2 linked regions of the Arabidopsis thaliana genome follow. The protein of the gene in region 2 interacts with the protein of the main gene of each other region in a pairwise test. Each region holds a gene or a part of one and is shown on either strand. Other genes may lie near its edges.

Region 1 (10,056 bases), 460 kb from region 2:
GTGTTATTGGTCTGTGTTGGAACAATGGATTGAGTTTTAGATGTCTTTGTCTCAACATCATCAAACACATTCTCTATGAAAGCAAAACAAAACAAAACAAGTTATAAATACTCTTTAACCAAAAAATCAAACTTTCGAATAAAGTTTGTAAATTTATAATTGTACCATCGTAAGGATTGCCGCAACGCAAGCAAATTCTTCGACCTTCTTTGAATTCATACTCAAGACAAGCTTTGCAGATCGGGAAACTACACTCATGACAAGCCACAAAGAACTCTCCGTTTGATTTTACACCAATCTCTTCACCACAAGTGTTGCAGATGGGAGACCTAGACTCCATCATCTTCGAATTCCCCTGTTTGGAGAAACAGAGAAATGAACCCTAATTAGGGATTGAGATTTGGATGGATAACAAGTTTGAGAAGCCATGAGAGTGGAGGTTTTGTAATAAGAGGAAAAAAAGTTATTAAAAAAAGTTTGGTGGATTGTGAAAAATCGGAAGTTGAGAAGTTTCTTTCACTGGTTTTCTGAGAAAGCTGATGGGTAAGCTAAATTTGGAGCTTTTTTGAAATGATTTTGCGGGAAAGTGAAGGAAAGTTTTAGTTGAGAGGAGTGACACATGTTCTTTGTCTCTAACCAGCGGCAGATACTAGCTTGCTTGCCTCCTAAGCGTCACCGTACTTTCTATATCAAGCTAACATTGAAGTTGTTATATCCGGTTTATTCGGGTCGGGTTATTCACCATTGAAGTTGTTATAATTTTTAAGTAAATCTTTTCAATCACCAACTTTCTATAAGAAAAATAAGAATTAAAATCACTTTTTTGAATCAAATTAATTTTAGCATTAAAATATTTAAATTTATAGTGTAAACAATTATTTAAGACATAAAATTAAAATTTATAGTTAAAATTATAAGACACATATGTATCTAAAAAAAATATTTAGTTTTTTTTTTATTTAGGTAAATGACAATTTGTGACAAATATTAAAGTCTTAAACCTAAAATTTTAATTGTCTTTGTCAGAAGAGAATTTTCACCGTTTACTACTAAAGAAAACACTCGTCATTTGGTTTAATATCTCTAATCTCTATAACAATTTGAGCTTTAGCTGTACCAAAAATAAATTTTGAGATATAATATCACTTCTCTAATTTTGTTTCTGCTTAATCACTTCTCTGTTCATTAACGTTTTTTGCATAATTCTACTCTACATTTGCAATGTTAGAACAAATCAATCTACACTCTTAACCAATTCAGTCTTTGCATCATCACATCTGAGTTTCCTCTGGTCTACTGTCTCAAATAAAACCGTTGACCAAATACAGCAAAACCATCCATCAAATTCGACCTTCTGATTTTGCTCAGATAAGTTGTAAGGGTTGAAGAATACTAAAGTTATGGGTTTCTACGTCTCTGTGGAAACAACTCTCTCTGACATTTCTAAACTCGACCAGGAAGAAGATTGTGAGCTTCTATAAGAAACAAGATAGATGATGAAACTGATGTATCCAACTACTCCACCAAAAACCAGAAACCCAACAAGAAACCCTTCCACTTCAGCCATGAAGAAATCTAGAAGAAGATACCCATTTATCATCATCACAAACACCGCCACAGTCCAAGCTAGCTTCTGCAAAGATCCCAACTAACTCGTTACAATCAAAAGCACATAACAATAAAGAGAGATGACAAAAAATTGCTTTACCTCAAGCGAAGGTCCGATCTTGAAGACACCCATGATATGTTCATTAGAAACCATAGTCAAAAGAGGAATAACCGCGAAAGGAATCTGCATCGACTGAAGAATGTTAAGCCATTCGTTTAAAACATCGAGCGAGCCCTCGGATGTGTTAAACATAATAGCAACAAACATAGTAGGTACAATAGCAAAGCTTCTCGTTATAAAAGCTGATAGCCATTGTTCCATTTGAAGATCTAAGAACCCTTCCATTATAAACTGTCCAGCATAAGTCCCGGTTATAGTACTGCTTTGTCCAGCAGCTAATAAACCAATCCCCCAAATGTATAGTATCGGGAAAACACCACCGCCATATTTCTCTTGTAGGTAATATCCCGCGTTAACCAGTCCTATACTATCAGCTTGTTTGGTTCCATAAAACCCTTTCGCGAAAACCGCAGTTACAAACAAATTGATCATGAACGAAACAAAAAGCGCGGCTGACGATTCGATTGTATAGTAGTTAAGAGCTTCTTGAACTCTGTTTATCTCCTTTGGATCCGTCTTCCTAGACTGCACTAAAGCTGAATGCAAGAACACATTGTGAGGCGTTATTACACATCCCACAACTCCAACAGCTTCTCTAATCGTCTTTGATCCGAGTTTCGGAATAATAATACCTTTCAAAATCATCATCAAGATAAAACCAAATCAAGAAATGACATCAAATAAGAGACAATGCTTAATCTTACAAACTTACCTATGAATAGTTCTTCAACACTTGGCTTAGTTTCATTAAACATCCAAGCGAACGAAAGCGCCATTGTCGCAATCAAAACCGCGAAAAGACCTTCTAATTTCCTCATTCCACATTTCTCCAAATACGAAATCAAGAAGCTGTTTTTTCACAAACAACACAAATCAAAACTTGTGTTACAAACAACACCGCAAAAAGACCTATTTTGTTTTTTAATAACTCAGGTGATCCTAAAGGCGTTCTAAGCCAAAGACCTAGTTTTGCTTACCAATCAAATGATGTGATGATAACACCAACCCAAATAGGTAAAAACCCTCGAGTCAAAATCTGAAGAGCGATCGCGCTTCCGATGACTTCTTGAATATCAGCTCCGATCAAAGCAACCTCCGCCATGAACCAAAGCAAGATTCGCGCCCACGAAGGATACTCACTTCGACAAATCTCCGCTAAATGTCGACCCGTGGCGACACCGATACGAGCAGAGAGAAGCTGCATCAGAAGTCCCATTAGCGTCGCCCATAGAAGAAGCCATAGGAGAGAGTAACCAGCCACAGCTCCGGCTTGTAAATCTCCTTCGATATTTCCTGGATCTAGAAACGCGATGCTCATGAGAAATCCAGGTCCGGTGAATTTCCATAGCTTTGCCCATGAGAATGGCGGAACTGAATCGTAGGTTTTGTCTCTGTCTTCTTCTACGTTCAGGATCTGATTCTCCGGTGGCGATTCGTGAAGCTCGTCCTCCTCTGGCTGAGAGGTTTCGGGAACTAATAGACGTTTGAATTCGCCGTTACTGTCGTTTGGTCTCTTAGGGCTGTTTTCTTGGCGGGAAACGGTGGATCCCGTCATCTTAGTAACGGAATATTCTTTCGGCGTTACTGACGACGTGATTTGTTTTAAGAAAATTTTAAAAGATTACATGGATTATTTTGATAAAATTAAAATTAAAGTCAAGAATAGTCAAATGAGAAAACAAAAGCAAATTCTAAAAATGAACTGTTATTAAAAGTTTCTATTATTAGAAACTGAATTGTGATCTCTATTTTTTTGACGAAAATTTTCTAAATTGGTATAACAAAAATTAGTTGTGTTCAAGGATTAGCACAATAAATATTGGTTTAGAGATATTTGCGGATTGAATTAAAAACAAACCATAGACCAGAACCGGTTAAATTACAAAATCCCTTAACCGGTACAGAATCAGACCAAAGCTAAGCAATTTTCAAACAAGCAAATCAAAAGGCATAACATAGTTTGTTTTCCTAAAAAAAAGCAAACATCTTCAAAAACAAAATTTGAATGTAAAATTTAAAAACCGATTTCAGCTTTAGGACATAAGACCATTTAGTTGGAGCAGCAACCAGTTTTCTTCACTGCGGAAACATCAACATCGATCTTCTCTCCTTTCGAAGGAACATTACCGGAATCTTCACCAGCCTCCATTGCTTTCTTGCTCACAACATGGTAAATCTGAGTGAGTACTTCAGAAAACGCGTTCTCAACATTGGTAGATTCAAGAGCTGAGGTTTCCATGAAGTAGAGTGATTCATTCTCTGCAAAAGATTTTGCATCTTCGGTTTGGACTGCTACAAGATGGCGAAGATCGGATTTGTTTCCCACAAGCATCACAACTATGTTTGGGTCAGTGTGGTCACGGAGTTCCCTTAGCCATCTCTCAACGTTTTCGAATGTTGAGTGTCGGGTTACGTCGTAAACAAGAAGCGCCCCAACAGCTCCTCGATAGTAAGCACTAGTGATTGCTCGGTATCTAAAAATAGCGAAAAGAGGAGAAACAAAAACCCGTTAACGACTTAGTCATTGAAACTCTGTTAAATTAGAAAGATAGGAACATAATAAGAACCGAAATGACAAGAAAGACTTCAAAGCAATAAGCTCTTCAGCTTCAATGGTAGAAAACGATCATTAAAGAAATCGATATCGTCATCAGAATTAACGAACATATAGAAACACCATGAACATATACGATACCGAAGATTATCATCAACCACTGGTTGATCAAACTAATCAGCAAAACAACAGAATTTCTACAAAGCTGGTAACTTTAAGCATAATTGTTGAGTTCTCTCATTATACACAAATACAATGTACACTTCACCTCCAGTAATTATATACACGATCACAGGTTAGGTTGATTTCTCAAGCTTTCTCTACGATAAACTGATTCCATTAACTAAGACAGATCTAATGAAATTGTATTGACTCCACAATGCATCAGAAGGCCAATACCTAAAACACAGATCGAGAAATGAACAAATGAAGACAAAATCAAAGAGACGGAGCTTAAACCTTTCTTGACCAGCAGTGTCCCAAATCTGGGCTTTGATGACTTTTTCATTAACATTCAAGCTACGAGTCGCGAACTCGACCCCGATCGTTGATTTAGACTCGAGACTAAACTCGTTCCTGGTGAATCGAGAAAGCAAATTGGACTTTCCAACACCTGAATCACCGATCAGAACCACCTTGAATAGGTAATCGTAATCATCATCTGCTCTGTAACCCGCCATTAACACTTCTCACTGAATCAAAAAAGCTTCACACTTTCAACGAATAAAGAAACGAAAATTGCTCTATGATCCCAGAAAATTGAACAAAACTTCGATTTTGCTTTTTTACTTTCTTCTTTATTCTCTTTAGATTCAAATATTTATTCCTCAGATTTCTACAGAAAGACACAGACTTTGAAAAAAGTTAGGGTAAGACTGGTGTCTTTCTAGCTGGACCATGATCACCGATAGATTCTGGGTGAAATATTTTGTATACATGTACTAAACTACCCCGGATTCACTCCCTAAGATCAGGGGTAGATCCGACATTTCGTTAAACTTTTGTATGTATATGTTACATGCTTTCATTTTCTTGAAAAGGTCAAAAAGTAGTGGTGGTGGTCATGTTACATTGGTAAACGGCGATATTTCAGTCACTCTCAATGATGATCTAACAAAAATGAAACATTTCTAGCTCTATCTTCTAGTTAGTGGATTCTGTATATACCCAATGGGTTTCAACACACACTAAAATGGAAGCCCATATGGGCTAATCACATAGTAGTTGTGTGTATTGTCTAAATTCTTTGAGGTTAGCAAAAACTCACATATCTGCTGCCATGTGAAAAGAGTTCAATGATTTGTGTATTATGTAATATGTAATCCAAAAACGCATCTGTACATTAAGAAAAGAAACAAAAAAAAGAGTGAAAAAGGAACATAGACAAATGTTCTGTGCTCCTCTCCACTCATCCTCCATTATTAGCCAAAAAATCCATTATTTTGTCATTACCATAAAAGTCTCCATCAACCCTTTTCCTCATGAAACCCTCCTATCAAAATTTAGATTCTTTACTTTTTCTTTTCTTTAAAAAATGTCTGAAACTCCACCTACATCTTCATCTTCTTCCTCTGTTTTAACTCAGAATGTTACAAAACCAGTTTCAGACAAACTTCTTCAGAAGTACATTGACGTGTCTGAGTTTCAGTTTGATTACCAGACAAGCGGTATCTGGTCTCCACCGTTTCAACGGACTGCTTTTCTTACACCACAAGGCAAAATTCTCACAGACAGAGAAATGGCAGAGAAATTTCAGAATCTTGTTGAAGAACCTCCACGGATCAAAAGGTACAATCTTTATTGTTGTCGTCAATAAGCTTTTGTAAATCTTATCTACAATGTACGATATATGGAGTATACAAACATGTTTCTACACGACTCTTTTGTTGTTGTTTTTACTTTTGGAAAGATTTTTAACGAAGATGAGACAACACACAGTTACAAAAGTAGATAAAACCTGGTTTAAACTGCAACAGTGCTCTGTTCTAAAGCTTCTTTACCGGTGATTCCATCTTTCAGAGTCTTGAAATACTCATTGTAGTCTTTCTCCGGTGGAGGATTCTCAGGATCTACCGTGAAAGGCTCGCTAAACGGAACCGTACTTTTAACCTGAAACAAACAAACAACACACAAAACAGCCCAATTCAGAAATTTAACTTTTTGAATAGCAACCCGGAAAAATCGAAAAATTGATGATTCTTTAAAAACCTCGAAGGTCTTGTTAAGAGCATACGGGCTTTCTAAAGCAGCGATGCATATACGCGCTACTTCGTCTCTTGATACCTTCCCCTATATAAAGGTAAAGTTGGTTAGGTTAGTTAACTTAAAGAGTTGTTGGATTTCAAGGAGAAGCGAAATTGAAAATACCGTAATGTTGTCTCCTTGTTCGAAAATGAGATCAGCTCCGGCAGGCTCTTCTGTTAAAGCACATGGCCGTACAATTGCAAATGGAATCCCGCTGTCGCGTATCAGATCCTCTCCCTAGTCATTCAAAAGTAAGAGCTTTAAAATCTTTTGAAAATGACTTTTCCAATTTTCTGCGAAGCAGAGAGTATAGAGAGACAAACCTTTAACTTGTAAGTGAGAATGAAATCAAGCTCTTTGTTTAATCTCACGGCCGGAGGTTGTTTGCTTAGATCCAAACCGGGTCTCTCTGGTCGAGTAACTCCCGCAGAGCCAACGTGAACAAACCTGTAACGATAAGTAACGAAATGCTAGTTCAGCATTTAGTGAAGAGTTTGGTTTCTAAAAAGCAAGAAACTAGATCAGACCTTGGAGTGACGGGGTCTTGGATATAAGCTCGAATGCTAGATAAAGGAAGCTCGAAAGGTCCTTCTTTGAATGTAGGGTTAAGCTTACCATCATACTCAAATTTGCTAAACATAAGCTGAAAAATAGCCAACTTATTAATCAAACATTTAGAATGGGAATTTTAAGAGGGTTAACACAAAAAGGAAAACAAACCTGTAGTGAAATGATACTGCTTGCATTAAAAGGTGGTGCATCTGTAACTGTACGTGCGCGAAATACAGGTCTTAAAGACGAGAAAGGTAAGCGTACCTATGATTTAAAGTAACAGAACTATAATTAATCTACCCACAAAAGTATATCGAAAATGAAAGACAAAAGTGATTTTACTTACAGATTGCCATTGGCCTGGTGAAGTGTCAAAACTGGCGGTGTAACCAACAGTATCCCAATCTTGGCTTGTTCGGACGATTAGCTTATAACGGAGTCCATCACCTTTTAGTCTTAGCTCTAGACCATCATATGCAGAGACATTCTCCGCCTCGGGAAAGTTCTAGAAGAAAAGTGTAAGACTCATGCTTCAGTGAGATAACGAAGGATAAAAAAGCTTGGAGAGATTCTGACATTTAGTCGTACCCTTTACCTTGGTTCGGACACTCGTAAATCCGCCATTATTTGTTGTGGAAACAATTCCTAACAAAACATGTTATGCTTATATAAGTAAAACCCCAAGAGAAGGAAAATGGCAAATAGAGTTGTTATCTTATCAAACCTTTAAAAATTCCGGTAGGTCCACCGTTTTCACCAGCGGTTAGATCTACTATGAAGTTACTTTCGCTGACACCTCCCATTACAACATCATCCAATGCTCCCCAAGGTAGATCCTTAAACGTGTTATCTATACAGATATATTGGTAAGTCTTTTATAATGCCATGTCAACTCATAGAAACCTAATCAAGTTCCTTGACCCAACTTACCCCCGACACCAAAAATAAGCTTCCCATTCTCAAGTCCAACACCATCTCTAACAGCATTGATTAAGTTCTTCATTCCAATGTATTCCACTAACTCGGGAGAGTCGCCTTTTATCTGTGAATAACCAAAATCTATAGGTTTTAGTTTTATTGAACATTGAGCACTAAATTCATCAAAACAATACTCAAGAAATGTTCTTATAGTCCCAGTACCTCTGGCTCGAAGAACCTGACTCCCTGCATTATAACCAATATCCAAACAGAGTCATTTCTCAAAGCTAGAATCTAAAGTTCAAAGCTTTTAAGAAATTCCATTCAGAAAAATTCACCGACCTGATTATATTTTTGTCTCTCAGGTGTATCTCCTTCCTTTGGACCAACAATAACAGAAACAGCATTGATCACTTTCCTCACTCCTTTGAACTTTTCAGGAACCAATGTATTCTCCTTTGTAATATCTGCAACAATCTGACAACATTGAAATATATGCAGATAGTTATCAATGGTCTTATAACTATAAAAATAACAAGAATACAATGTGGAAAATTTCAGTGGACTCACCAAGTCAATCTCAGGTCCTAACATCTTCCGAGCCTTCTCTTCATTTCTAACCTATGATTATTCCCCAAAAAGTTAAAGACTTTGCCCACATTTTCAAAATCAGAATTAAAACACAAGAAAAGAGAAACCTATCGAAAAGTTTAGTACCAATGCTTTAACAGGCAACCCTCTTTTCCTCAAGATATCAACAATCCTTCTTCCTACACCACCAGTAGCTCCAGCCACAAGTATGATTCCAGAAGTTCCCATTTCAGCAACCGGTTCCTCCGTTGCTCCGTTAGTAAGTTTCTCAAACACCGATGAAACAAACTTCACAAGCAAGAAACAATCAATTACTTCAAATGACTATATTACACCTCTCAATGAGAATCAAACAAAAGTCCTCATATATACCTTTAGAGGAGATGGTGGTCCATTGAAAAAGTACAATGTTTTGACGAATCTACCAAAGTCCCAACCTTGAGAACCTGATTTCGCAGTGACCCGTTTTCTGTAAGACCTTAGCTCGAGAGAATGTGAAACTTGTTGGTCACGAAGACGTCGGCTTTTATCATCAAGTTGAAGAAACGGTTTAGGAAGTGAAGTGTACTTAGAGAATTTTATATCAATACTTGATGAAGAACCCTGCAAAGTATTAACAGAAAAGTCTTCAAATTTATTGAGAATTTTGCAGACTCAGTTTCAGAAAACAGACATATTTAATAAGAAAAAACTGAGAAAATGCTTAACCTGAAGTTTGATGATGGAAGGAGATAACGACGATGAGAGCTTGAGTGAAGACGAAACCTCCATTTCTGAATTCAACAACACTCGAAAGATTGAATTCTGGAAAAATCTCAAAAGCGCAAAAGATTTTTGTGCTGTGGAATCGATAGAGATTGTAGACCACACACGTGGGGAAGTCTCAGCGGTTTGTTTTCCGGTTTAATTAACCGGTAGGGTGGTTCCGGTGATACCGATCTAATTCAAACGACATAGTTTTACTCTGATGAAGTTTCACGCAAAAGATTTAATGAGGAAATGCGTCTGCCGGGAGTCGAACCCGGGTCTATTGCTTGGAAGGCAATTATCCTAACCGTTGGACTACAGACGCTATTGTTAAGCATATGAAAACTTAATTATAAATACCAAACTAAACAGAAGTTAAAAAGCTTGTTGCACTTGCTACCTGAGGACTACCAATTGTTTTACTATATTGATAATGAGATTTAAGAAAATAACCACATAAAACATTCAGTTGTTTAAGTATGTATAAGTTACTATTCTTAAGCCAATGTCATCATAGTAACATGTAATAGAGCTGGCTTTTTCTTATCTTGAGCTTTTGACTTTTGTTTGAGACTAGTAAATTTTATAGGATAACTGAAACTAGGCTTTATCAAACATTACATAGAAGAACATGTGGGGGACAATTTAGTTCTGTGTGGTGGTTAGTTTTGCTTAATATTCAAGACTGACACGTGGAGCCTAGCAATGCCGCCGCAAAGAA
Region 2 (10,056 bases):
ATTTCAAGGAGCAATGCAGCAAACCCAGGAGTCGTGTTCGTCTGTAATAGATTTCTGTGTGTTATCGAAAGAAATGATCAGAGGAAATTATCTGGGAAGGTTATGATGAAATCTTCTGTTAATTTCAGACAGAATCTCTCTGTTGCATTAGTTCGGATCGTTTCTGTTCTGCTTGTCTCTTCCATTTCTGTTGTTACCACTGATTCACCACCATCATGTAAGTTCTGTTTTTTTTACATGTTGAGAAACCATATAAATTTCGGGGAATGCAATTTGATTTCATTTGTGTGGCTTTTTTTCTCTGTCTCTTTAGGGGGTCTTACTGAAGAGAATCTTCTCTTCCTCGAGGCTTGGAGAACAATTGATCGTGCTTATATTGATAAAACCTTTAATGGACAAAGCTGGTTTCGTTACAGAGAGACTGCTTTACGAAATGAGCCTATGAACACTCGAGAAGAGACATGTATGTGTGAATAGCTTTATTAACCTTTTACAAAATTAGTACAACTTGCTTCTAAATTTGGTGTTGGTTTGTGTTTAGACATGGCTATCAAGAAAATGGTGGCAACACTAGATGATCCTTTTACTCGATTCTTGGAGCCCGGAAAGTTCAAGAGTTTGCGGGTAAGATTTCCTGAAAATATACAGTTCTGAATTTAGCAAATAGACTGTATGTAAGATCTAGTAATTAAATGGTTTGGTTGAAGGCAGTCGGGGACTCAAGGGGCGGTTACGGGTGTTGGGCTGTCGATAGGTTACCCCACTGCATCAGATGGACCACCAGCTGGGCTTGTTGTTATATCAGCTGCTCCAGGAGGTCCTGCAAATAGGGCGGGGATATTACCTGGCGATGTTATTCAAGGAATTGATAATACAACCACAGAAACTCTTACCATATACGATGCTGCACAGATGTTGCAGTGAGTTACATTTCCATTTTTCATCATTCCTTAACTTTGAAAAATCTAAGTGTGACGAGTTAATGGTTCTGAAGTAAGAAATGATGATAATGCTTTGGTTGAAATGCAGGGGACCTGAAGGAAGTGCAGTGGAGCTAGCGATTCGCAGTGGACCTGAAACGAGACTCTTAACTTTGACGTATTTCTCTCATGCCTACATTTATCTTCGTTGTCACGTTCATTTGGTAACTACAATTGTTGTTATTTCAGGCGAGAGCGGGTTTCTGTGAATCCAGTGAAGTCAAGATTATGTGAACTTCCTGGTTCTGGGAGTAACTCCCCTAAGATTGGCTATATCAAGCTAACAACATTCAATCAAAATGCTTCTAGTATGTATTCTTTGGCATTACTGATTCCTTCTTACAAATTTATCTACTCTCTAGTTTATTATCTCTCAAAGTCTTAACACTTTTTTTGTAGGTGCGGTAAGGGAAGCTATTGAAACCTTGAGAGGCAACAATGTAAACGCATTCGTCTTGGACCTTCGAGACAATAGGTGATGATTTTTTGAGAACATAAACTCTTTTTTGCTTTTGCAACAGCCTTTCTTAAAAAAATTGTTCTTGCTGCAGTGGAGGTTCTTTCCCAGAAGGAATTGAGATTGCTAAATTTTGGTAATAACCTCATAAACCGTTACATATAACGAATTAGAAAATTTCAAGATCCACAGCTATCATAATAGAAACTTCAACATTTGCTATCCACAGGTTAGATAAAGGAGTGATTGTGTATATTTGCGATAGTCGAGGTGTTAGAGATATATATGATACTGATGGAAGCAATGCTATAGCAACCTCTGAGCCTCTTGCCGTTCTTGTATGAGCTTCCATCCTTCCTTTCCTCAAATCTAGTCCTTATTGTAATCTGTAAATGCCATGAAAGATTTCATTCTCACACAATCTTTCTCTTTTCCAGGTTAACAAAGGCACCGCGAGTGCCAGCGAGATATTAGCAGGTGCCTTGAAAGATAATAAACGTGCTCTGGTTTATGGAGAACCAACTTACGGAAAAGGGTAAACAAAATGGCGCTATTTTTTATTCTTCTTCTCAGAGACCGAACCGTAAAATTCCTGAGACTTTAACGCATTTTGCAGCAAGATACAGTCGGTTTTTGAGCTTTCTGATGGTTCGGGCTTGGCAGTAACAGTTGCTCGATATGAAACACCAGCTCACACAGATATAGACAAAGTATGAAACTACTTTCTTCCTGTAGTAACCCCCTCTGTGTCTACACTACACTACATACAAACATGTTCTTACAGTCTTGACTCGTTGCTGGTTGTTGTATAGGTCGGTGTAACTCCTGATCATCCATTGCCAAAGTCGTTTCCGAAAGATGAAGAGGCGTTCTGTGGATGCCTTAAGGATCCTACAGCTGCTTGTTATCTCAATCAAGGCCTACTTTTTTCTAGATGATTTTGTTTTGTTCAAACTTTGTTCTGACAACATATGACTAAAATTTATTGACTCAAGCTTTGTACTTTTGAAGATTCGCCATAGCTTTAGCTAATCGAAACCAGAAATTTCACATTTAAGAACACAAACAGAGGATTTTCCTTCAGAACCAAGTTATATTACAGAGACAAAGCAGTAACACTCTCTCCTTCAGAACCAAGACTCAGCAAACACAAGCCAAATCAAACCAAAGTGAACTACTCTATATACTCGATAACAAGAAACAAGAGACCAATAGTCCAACAGACTAAATTGTAGGAACAAAGAGAGTCGTGACAAACATATACTCATTGATGCTTCTTGATTGATGATGAAGCACTTGTCCATGCTTTTATGAGCTTGGGGAAATCAAACTGCGAGCACTATAATAACAATCATGAGCACGATACCAAAAATCACCAAGAGCAAGCACGTCTACAAGAAAAAGAAAAAACAATGGAAAGAAGAAGTTAGTAGGCTGATCTGATCATCCAAAATCCTCAAAAACACATTTCATGGTACGATCAAAAGCTTTAATATATTACCAGAGAAGAATTTGATCTTTGTGTCTTTGATGCCTTACGAGATGGGATTTTCCTTGGGCAGTTGCAGCGTAAGAGTTATCGATGTGAGTACCAATATCATCTACACAAAAATAGGTCTTACGTCTTAGGTTTTGAAGACATAAGTGAGAGTTTTAGCATAACAAGAGTTGGAATCAGTTTTACCTATCATGTTTCCTTGATCGTGCACCAACACTGCCAAGTCTTTGAAGATCTCGTGCACCTCGCCAATTTGCTGCTGAATTTCTTGTATCCCTTGCTCTCTTTCCTCAATAACAGCCTCATTGAACGCAATCTCATTGTCCAACAGTACAAGTTCTTGTCTGCAACAAAAAACAACAAACCAATCAATAGATAACTCATCAACCGAACAAAGATGGACACCATTGTCTGTATAAACTAACCTTTTTGATTCCACAAGAAGGGCACGCTGCTCTGGATGCTTATCTCCATTCACATCTATCTCACTGGATGTGTAGCTACATTACCAAAGCCAGGAAATCAATACACAAAACCACAAAAGTAAACATAAACCATCAATGAGCATTAACCTTGAGGGAAGAGATGGCTTGTGGACAAGAGGAGCATATACGGTTTCTCTTTCAGCAGCAAGACGCTGAGCCTTTTGAAACTCTTTCAACACAGCTTGAAAGTCCTTTGCAAGCTTAGCATCCACAATCTTCTTCTTTTGCTAACCAACCAATCAAATTCCTATTAATCAACAGAAGTAGCAGAAGAAGAACAAGAATCTTCCTTTATCATAAATGACTCACATTTACACCTCTTTGATGATCAGTTTCACTAGCTTCTTTAAGTTTAGCTGATGTATCTTTCACTAACTGTCCAATATATAATCTTGTCTTATGCCTAAAACAAGCAAATTGACTCAATTAGAAACAATTTCAAGTACCCTAAAACTCAAAAAGGAGATAACTTTAACTTTGAGAAGTACTTACAGCTTCTCTCTGAGCTCAGGCGTATCTTTAGGAGTACCAAGAGTATTGACAAGACGATGGAAAGTGGAAACACTTGTATTGATCTGAAATATACCAGAAGCAACATCTTGAGTCGTGTCTTGTCTACTACCACCACCATTGATGTTCCTTGAAGAAGCTAATGATCTTCCTCTTCCCGCCTCTAAATCTTGAAAACTCATTCTTTCTCTCTCTTTCTCGAAAACCCCGCCACTAAATTATCCTCTTTTATTCGCCCAAGAAAACAAAGCAACAACAAAATTCGATTTACAGTCGATAACGGAGATCGAGGGAAGAGAGGATGTGATGGTGATTTCAAGATTCCCCGGTGAGTTTCTCTCTCTCCGGACAGATTGAGAAAAAACGTGAACCGCGGAGAGAGAGATTGAGCAAAACGTGAAATGTCACATTACCTGTATGAACGGAAAAAGCTTGTACTTTTTTCATTTTTTGATCCTTAACTTTTCTATAATATTCCAAACGTGACTCTATAGTTTAGAATCTTAACGGTATATCCTCCTTTTATTATAAAGTGATAAATGGTCTACGATGATTACATTGCTCTGAGCTCAGGACACGTGGATGGTAGACATTGGTGGAGAAAGTGATTATGTCACGACGTTAATTGATTATTTTAACCAAGATACTAACAGATTACGGATTAATTAGAATTAGATTAAGGATTATGATAGATTAGTCCAGAATTTAATGAATAAAATCTCTAGATAGAACTTTACGTGACTAAAAAGGGTCAAAAGCAAAAGAAGTTTAAAATTAGGACTCTTTTTTAATCATCGCACGTGAGAAGGTTCCGACCATATCACGTGCCAAACCCGAATAAGACTCGTTTTTCCAAGGCGTTTAAAATCAGGTCCCACTTTTTTCTTTTATTTTTCACTCTTCTTCACATCAAATCCGCGACCAGAGATTTTTCTTTCCTTTGATTTTTCGTTTCGTTTCGTTTCAAATATTGTTCCTCCTGTGTGAAGGAAAAACAATCTTCCATTTCAATCCGCGTCAACGCGATTTTCTTCATGACGGTGAGCTTATCTAATCTCTTCGCTTTTTGAAACTAGTTAGTTTTGGTTTTTGTTTTGGATTTATCCTGAGAAAGGTCGATGTTTTTGCTGTTGATTTGATTGAGGAAGATGTGAACAGATCTGTTGATTTTGATTGTTGTTTTCTAATTTGTTTTGCGAGAAATGGCGTTGATTATTAGTGAAGAATCGCTAGTTTTTTTATTTTAGAGGATTTGAAGCTGTTCTCTGTTTTTGATTTGGGTGAAAATTACTGTTTCTGATATGAAGAAATTTTTTTTTAGGGTAAAATTGCTTTTGTTTGGATTAGGATATTCACTTTAGCATTTGTTTTGTTTTGTAATCTGTTAATATCTGATCTGTGCCATAGGATTAGTTTTGAGACAAGTATTTGCTTTTCCTAGATTCTGAGGTTCTTTTTATCTTCTTGTATTGATGATGCAATGTTTCTGTGTTTTCTGATCATTGTATTGATAATATTGGTTGCTTTAGGAGTGTGTGTGTGTGTGTTTAGTCATTGTTTTAGGCGATAAGGAATCGAGAAATGTGTAATCGAACAACTAATGAATAAGTCTGAGATTTTGTTTAGCTGGTGAAATGGTTTGAAATTTTAGTTTTTAAGTCACACGAGATTATATTTCACTTGCAGATGACAACAGTTAAAGTGAGCAATGTTTCTCTAGGAGCAACCGATAGAGATCTCAAGGAGTTCTTTTCCTTTTCTGGCGATATTCTGTACCTTGAGACGCAGAGGTTTGGTTTCCTCTCTATTGTTCCTTTTGAAAGTTTTAGATTACAGCTTTTAGTTCGTCAGGTTCTTAACTCTTTTGACATGTTTGTACAGCGAGACTGAGCGGACTAAACTGGCATATGTCACTTTTAAGGATCTACAAGGAGCTGAAACTGCGGTTCTTCTCTCGGTATTTTTACTTCTTAGCCTGTATTAGTTCCTCTATATGACTGTATCCTTTGAGTGACTGAGTATTAATGTAATTCTTTCATTTCAGGGAGCAACGATTGTTGATTCTTCAGTCATTGTCTCTATGGCTCCTGATTACCAACTGTCCCCTGAGGCTTTAGCTTCCTTGGTAAGCTCGTAATTCATCATCTCTTCTGAGTTTTTTCACAAGTTAAAATCTTACCATTTCATCTTTTTCACAGGAACCCAAGGACAGCAATAAATCTCCCAAGGCAGGTGACTCCGTGTTGAGAAAAGCCGAAGATGTTGTGAGCAGCATGCTTGCAAAGGGCTTTATCCTGGGAAAAGATGCCATAGCTAAAGCCAAAAGTGTTGACGAGAAGCACCAGCTAACATCTACAGCATCAGCCAAAGTCGCATCTTTTGACAAGAAAATTGGTTTCACTGATAAGATCAACACAGGCACGGTGGTAGTGGGAGAAAAGGTCAGGGAAGTTGATCAGAAGTACCAAGTCTCAGAGAAAACCAAATCAGCAATCGCTGCAGCGGAGCAGACAGTGAGCAATGCAGGTTCAGCTATAATGAAGAACCGGTATGTTCTCACAGGTGCCACGTGGGTTACTGGAGCATTCAACAAAGTTGCTAAAGCTGCAGAAGAAGTTGGACAAAAGGCTAAAGAGAAAGTTGGTATGGCTGAGGAAGAGGATAAGAGGAAAGTGGTTGATGAGTTTGCTAGAGTTCACTTGTCTGAATCACCAAAGGCAGCTTCATCAACGCAAGAAGCCGAACGTGAATCAAAACTCTCTGAATCTCCTGAAGCAAAGAAAGATTCTGAACATCTTGAGCCACAATCGAAACCATTGCAGCAACAATCTCCTCCACCTATGGCTTCAGCTCCTGCTCCGGCTCAACCTTGAGATATGCAATCAAAGACCTTTCTGATTCTTGTTGTAAACGGTAAAACTTGGAACTAATCTCTCTCAGATTGTTGAAGATGAAGATTGAACTTGTTATTTAGGACGAAGACTTGTGTTCTTGTAACATTGGATTCATGGTCGATTTGGTAATTAGACCTTAAAAAGAAAACAATTTTGTTCTTTTCGTTTTTCTTAAACTTATTTAAACCGGGCTAATCATCATGGTTAACTGAACCAAATACCGATCGATTTTTATTTTAAAATCAAAAATTTGATTAGAGCAATTAGCCCGTCAAGTGATTTTATGTAACTGAAAGTAACAAACCAAAGTAGATGTTACAAACACATTTGACAGGAAACGCTTTGTCGGTGATCTAAGAACTCTAATTATAAGAAGATTTTAAGCACTTTAAATTCAAAGAAGTATCAATTAAGAATAAATGTATATATTGACATTTGACAAAACTAAAGGAATAAAATCTCGACCAGTTAAACGCATTTATCAAAATATTTTGTTCTCAAGTGAAAAAAGAACAGATTTATTCATGGTATAAAAGGAAAAAGACAATTCGTTTTCTCACAATTATATATTGTTTGTAAACACATCATCTTAATTGTGCAAACAATATCAAAATTATACAAATAGAAAAGAGCACAGAAAAAAATGGAGAAGTCAGCTTTGATATTCATCGGTATTCTACTTTTTTCAACATGTGAGTTTCACAACTAAATTTATGTACCAATTGTATTCATCATCCTTATCATGTCATGAGCGTTTCTATAAATCATTTCGGTGATTTTTAGCAGGTACATCGATTATGGCACGAACTGGATATGTATCTTGCAAGACGAATTCTGACTGTGTTAAACTCAAATGTCCAACGCCATTTGGTGGCCCCAAATGTATTAGCGGTAGTTGTGAATGCCCCTTTAAAGAACTCATGACATTACCGAATGATACCAATTATGGTGTGGCTGCCTGCATTGACTATTGCAAGGCAAAAGGTGAAATTGTTTATGCATGTATCTTAAACCATTGTTACTCTTACAAACCTCCCATGTAATTTTATTAAGTTTTTGCGCATAAGGTTTTCAAATATCTAATTTTATCACTATTAATATCTTTTGAATATCGATAATATCATTTAATTACTATAGTTTATGTTTGGACATTTGACTGAAAATTAAACTTATAGTTTGAATGTTTTTCTTTCACTTATTTGTTAGATTCATTTGTATATTTTGTGTACTTAATCGTTTATGAACATAAGACAAGTTAAATTGATATTTTATCAGGTTTGTTAGTGTCCTAAATTATACTTGTTTTACATAAATATTAGATATTCATTAAAAATATATTTCTCTATGGAAATTAAAGAAACAACAATAATTGTAGTTCAGTCGAGATAAAAATCAGTTCAACAAAAATATCATGACAATCCGGCAAAAATTTAGTAAAAATTTGGAATAAATCCGTAAAACCTTATACAATATAACCTCTATAAATTAATACTCTATAAATTAATAACCTCTATAAATTAATAAATTCTTCCGGTTCTGAGTTGAGACCAGTATAAAAAGTGACAAAAATCGATAAATTAATAAGATAATAATTTTTTTGAAATCTATGTAAATATATGGTCCCATCAATATCATAAATTAATAATTGTATAAATGTATCAACTATATATATATATATATATATATATATATTATATGTAAAAAAAATTCTCTAAAATATATTTATAATATTTTTTTTGCTTAAATTCATATTTATTCTTTGTTTGATTATAGTTTTCATATTTTACTGTATCAAAACTTTTGATGTTGTTTTTTAGACATTATTATTATGTTTTACTTGTAAATGGTTCTATAAATATATTTTCTATAATGAAAGAAATCTTATAGAAATTTTTAAAACATTACCAAATTAGGAAAATTTCTCTATTATCTATAAATTAATACCTCTCTAAATTAATAAAATTTTGTAGTCCCAACTTTATTAATTTATAGAGGTTTTACTGTACTTCAAAGTTCTTCGTCAATGATTTAATTATCAAGATATTATAAAATTGTTTACCGAGATTTTTGGTAACTATTTGAGTAACGAATATTTGAGTAACGAATCGATTAAATAAATGCACTCTCAAAATGTAAATATAGAAGATCAAATGTTATCGCTGGCAAAAAGAAAAATAATGAATTTCCAATTTACTACCTTGATTAGAAACATCAAACTAGGTAATTTTTCACTCATTCTGAAACAAATTTGGTATAAAATCTTATTACATGAAGTAAGTAACGTATTTACCAAAACATTAACCAGTAAATTAGCAAAACAATTGCTTGCTGGGGAAGAAAACCAAATTATAAATACTCTCCAAATCCTCCAGTTTTAGTCACACAAACAACTCAAAACACAAGAGAAAGATACAAACTTATTCAATAAAAATGGAGAAAGCAGCTTTGATATTTATCGGTCTTCTACTTTTCTCAACATGTACGTAATTTTTTTGGATAATATGTTTAGTTACATTCATCGCCATCTTCTTCTTCCTCATCTATATTATATATCATCATGAATTCATGATCAATAACATATTTAATCTCATAGGCACACAAATTCTGGCACAATCTTGCAACAATGACTCTGATTGTACTAATCTAAAATGTGCAACGAAGAATATCAAGTGTGAGCAGAACAAGTGTCAATGCCTTGATGAAAGATACATCCGTGCGATATCGCTTAACACGAGGTCACCGAGGTGTAATGTTCAATCTTGCATTGACCATTGCAAAGCAATAGGCGAAGTAATTTATGTTTGTTTTACGTACCATTGTTATTGTCGCAAACCTCCAATGTAATAACAAAGTTATCATAATCATAGTATCTTTAACTTCTTTTACTGCGGCAAATTTCAACATATATTGTTTTATCATAACTATAAAATATGTCTTTAATAAAAGAAATTAAAACAATAATAATATATCTTACAAAATATTAATTATTTACGAGTTACAAGTATAGATTGGCGTTTTTGTTATTGTGGGCTTTTGGGTCCAAGATTGTAATACTGAGCAAAGATTTGATTGGACTCTCTGCTTCCTTCGAGGAAAAAAAAAGTAGAGTGTTGGACAAGCTTTTTGTCCATCTGTTAGTCCGTTAATTATCGCCGTTAAACATGGACGGACGCCGTTTACACTTCCTGGCCCGGTAACTATTTTTGAGTGCATATATCTCTTTCTTACCTTT

What was found. Proteins that work in one complex are often made in the same cells at the same time.
Region 1: the proteins of AT4G17720 (region 2) and RABA1d interact in a two-hybrid assay, tested with the Arabidopsis thaliana proteins (2 studies listed by BioGRID).

What each region holds. Positions count from the first base shown.
Region 1 is NC_003075.7:10,316,377-10,326,432, forward strand, and holds RABA1d (RAB GTPase homolog A1D), read right to left. Parts: upstream 5,198-10,056; 5' UTR 4,964-5,197; coding exon 4,743-4,963; intron 4,204-4,742; coding exon 3,780-4,203; 3' UTR 3,486-3,779; downstream 1-3,485. Other genes in the region: IRX1 (cellulose synthase family protein), read right to left, coding at 1-73, 166-343; NRAMP5 (NRAMP metal ion transporter family protein), read right to left, coding at 1,409-1,633, 1,709-2,361, 2,442-2,578, 2,707-3,284; AT4G18810 (NAD(P)-binding Rossmann-fold superfamily protein), read right to left, coding at 5,887-5,985, 6,252-6,392, 6,492-6,572, 6,651-6,764, 6,851-6,974, 7,055-7,170, 7,248-7,343, 7,426-7,584 and 9 more.
Region 2 is NC_003075.7:9,859,407-9,869,462, reverse strand, and holds AT4G17720 (RNA-binding (RRM/RBD/RNP motifs) family protein), read left to right. Parts: upstream 1-4,799; 5' UTR 4,800-4,964; coding exon 4,965-4,970; intron 4,971-5,616; coding exon 5,617-5,720; intron 5,721-5,811; coding exon 5,812-5,887; intron 5,888-5,974; coding exon 5,975-6,055; intron 6,056-6,128; coding exon 6,129-6,803; 3' UTR 6,804-7,098; downstream 7,099-10,056. Other genes in the region: AT4G17740 (Peptidase S41 family protein), read left to right, coding at 1-217, 314-463, 542-624, 712-920, 1,030-1,098, 1,170-1,288, 1,380-1,455, 1,532-1,573 and 4 more; SYP23 (syntaxin of plants 23), read right to left, coding at 2,746-2,767, 2,939-3,038, 3,122-3,279, 3,361-3,435, 3,508-3,647, 3,730-3,823, 3,913-4,112; AT4G17718 (Defensin-like (DEFL) family protein), read left to right, coding at 7,468-7,516, 7,611-7,867; AT4G17713 (Putative membrane lipoprotein), read left to right, coding at 9,255-9,303, 9,418-9,668.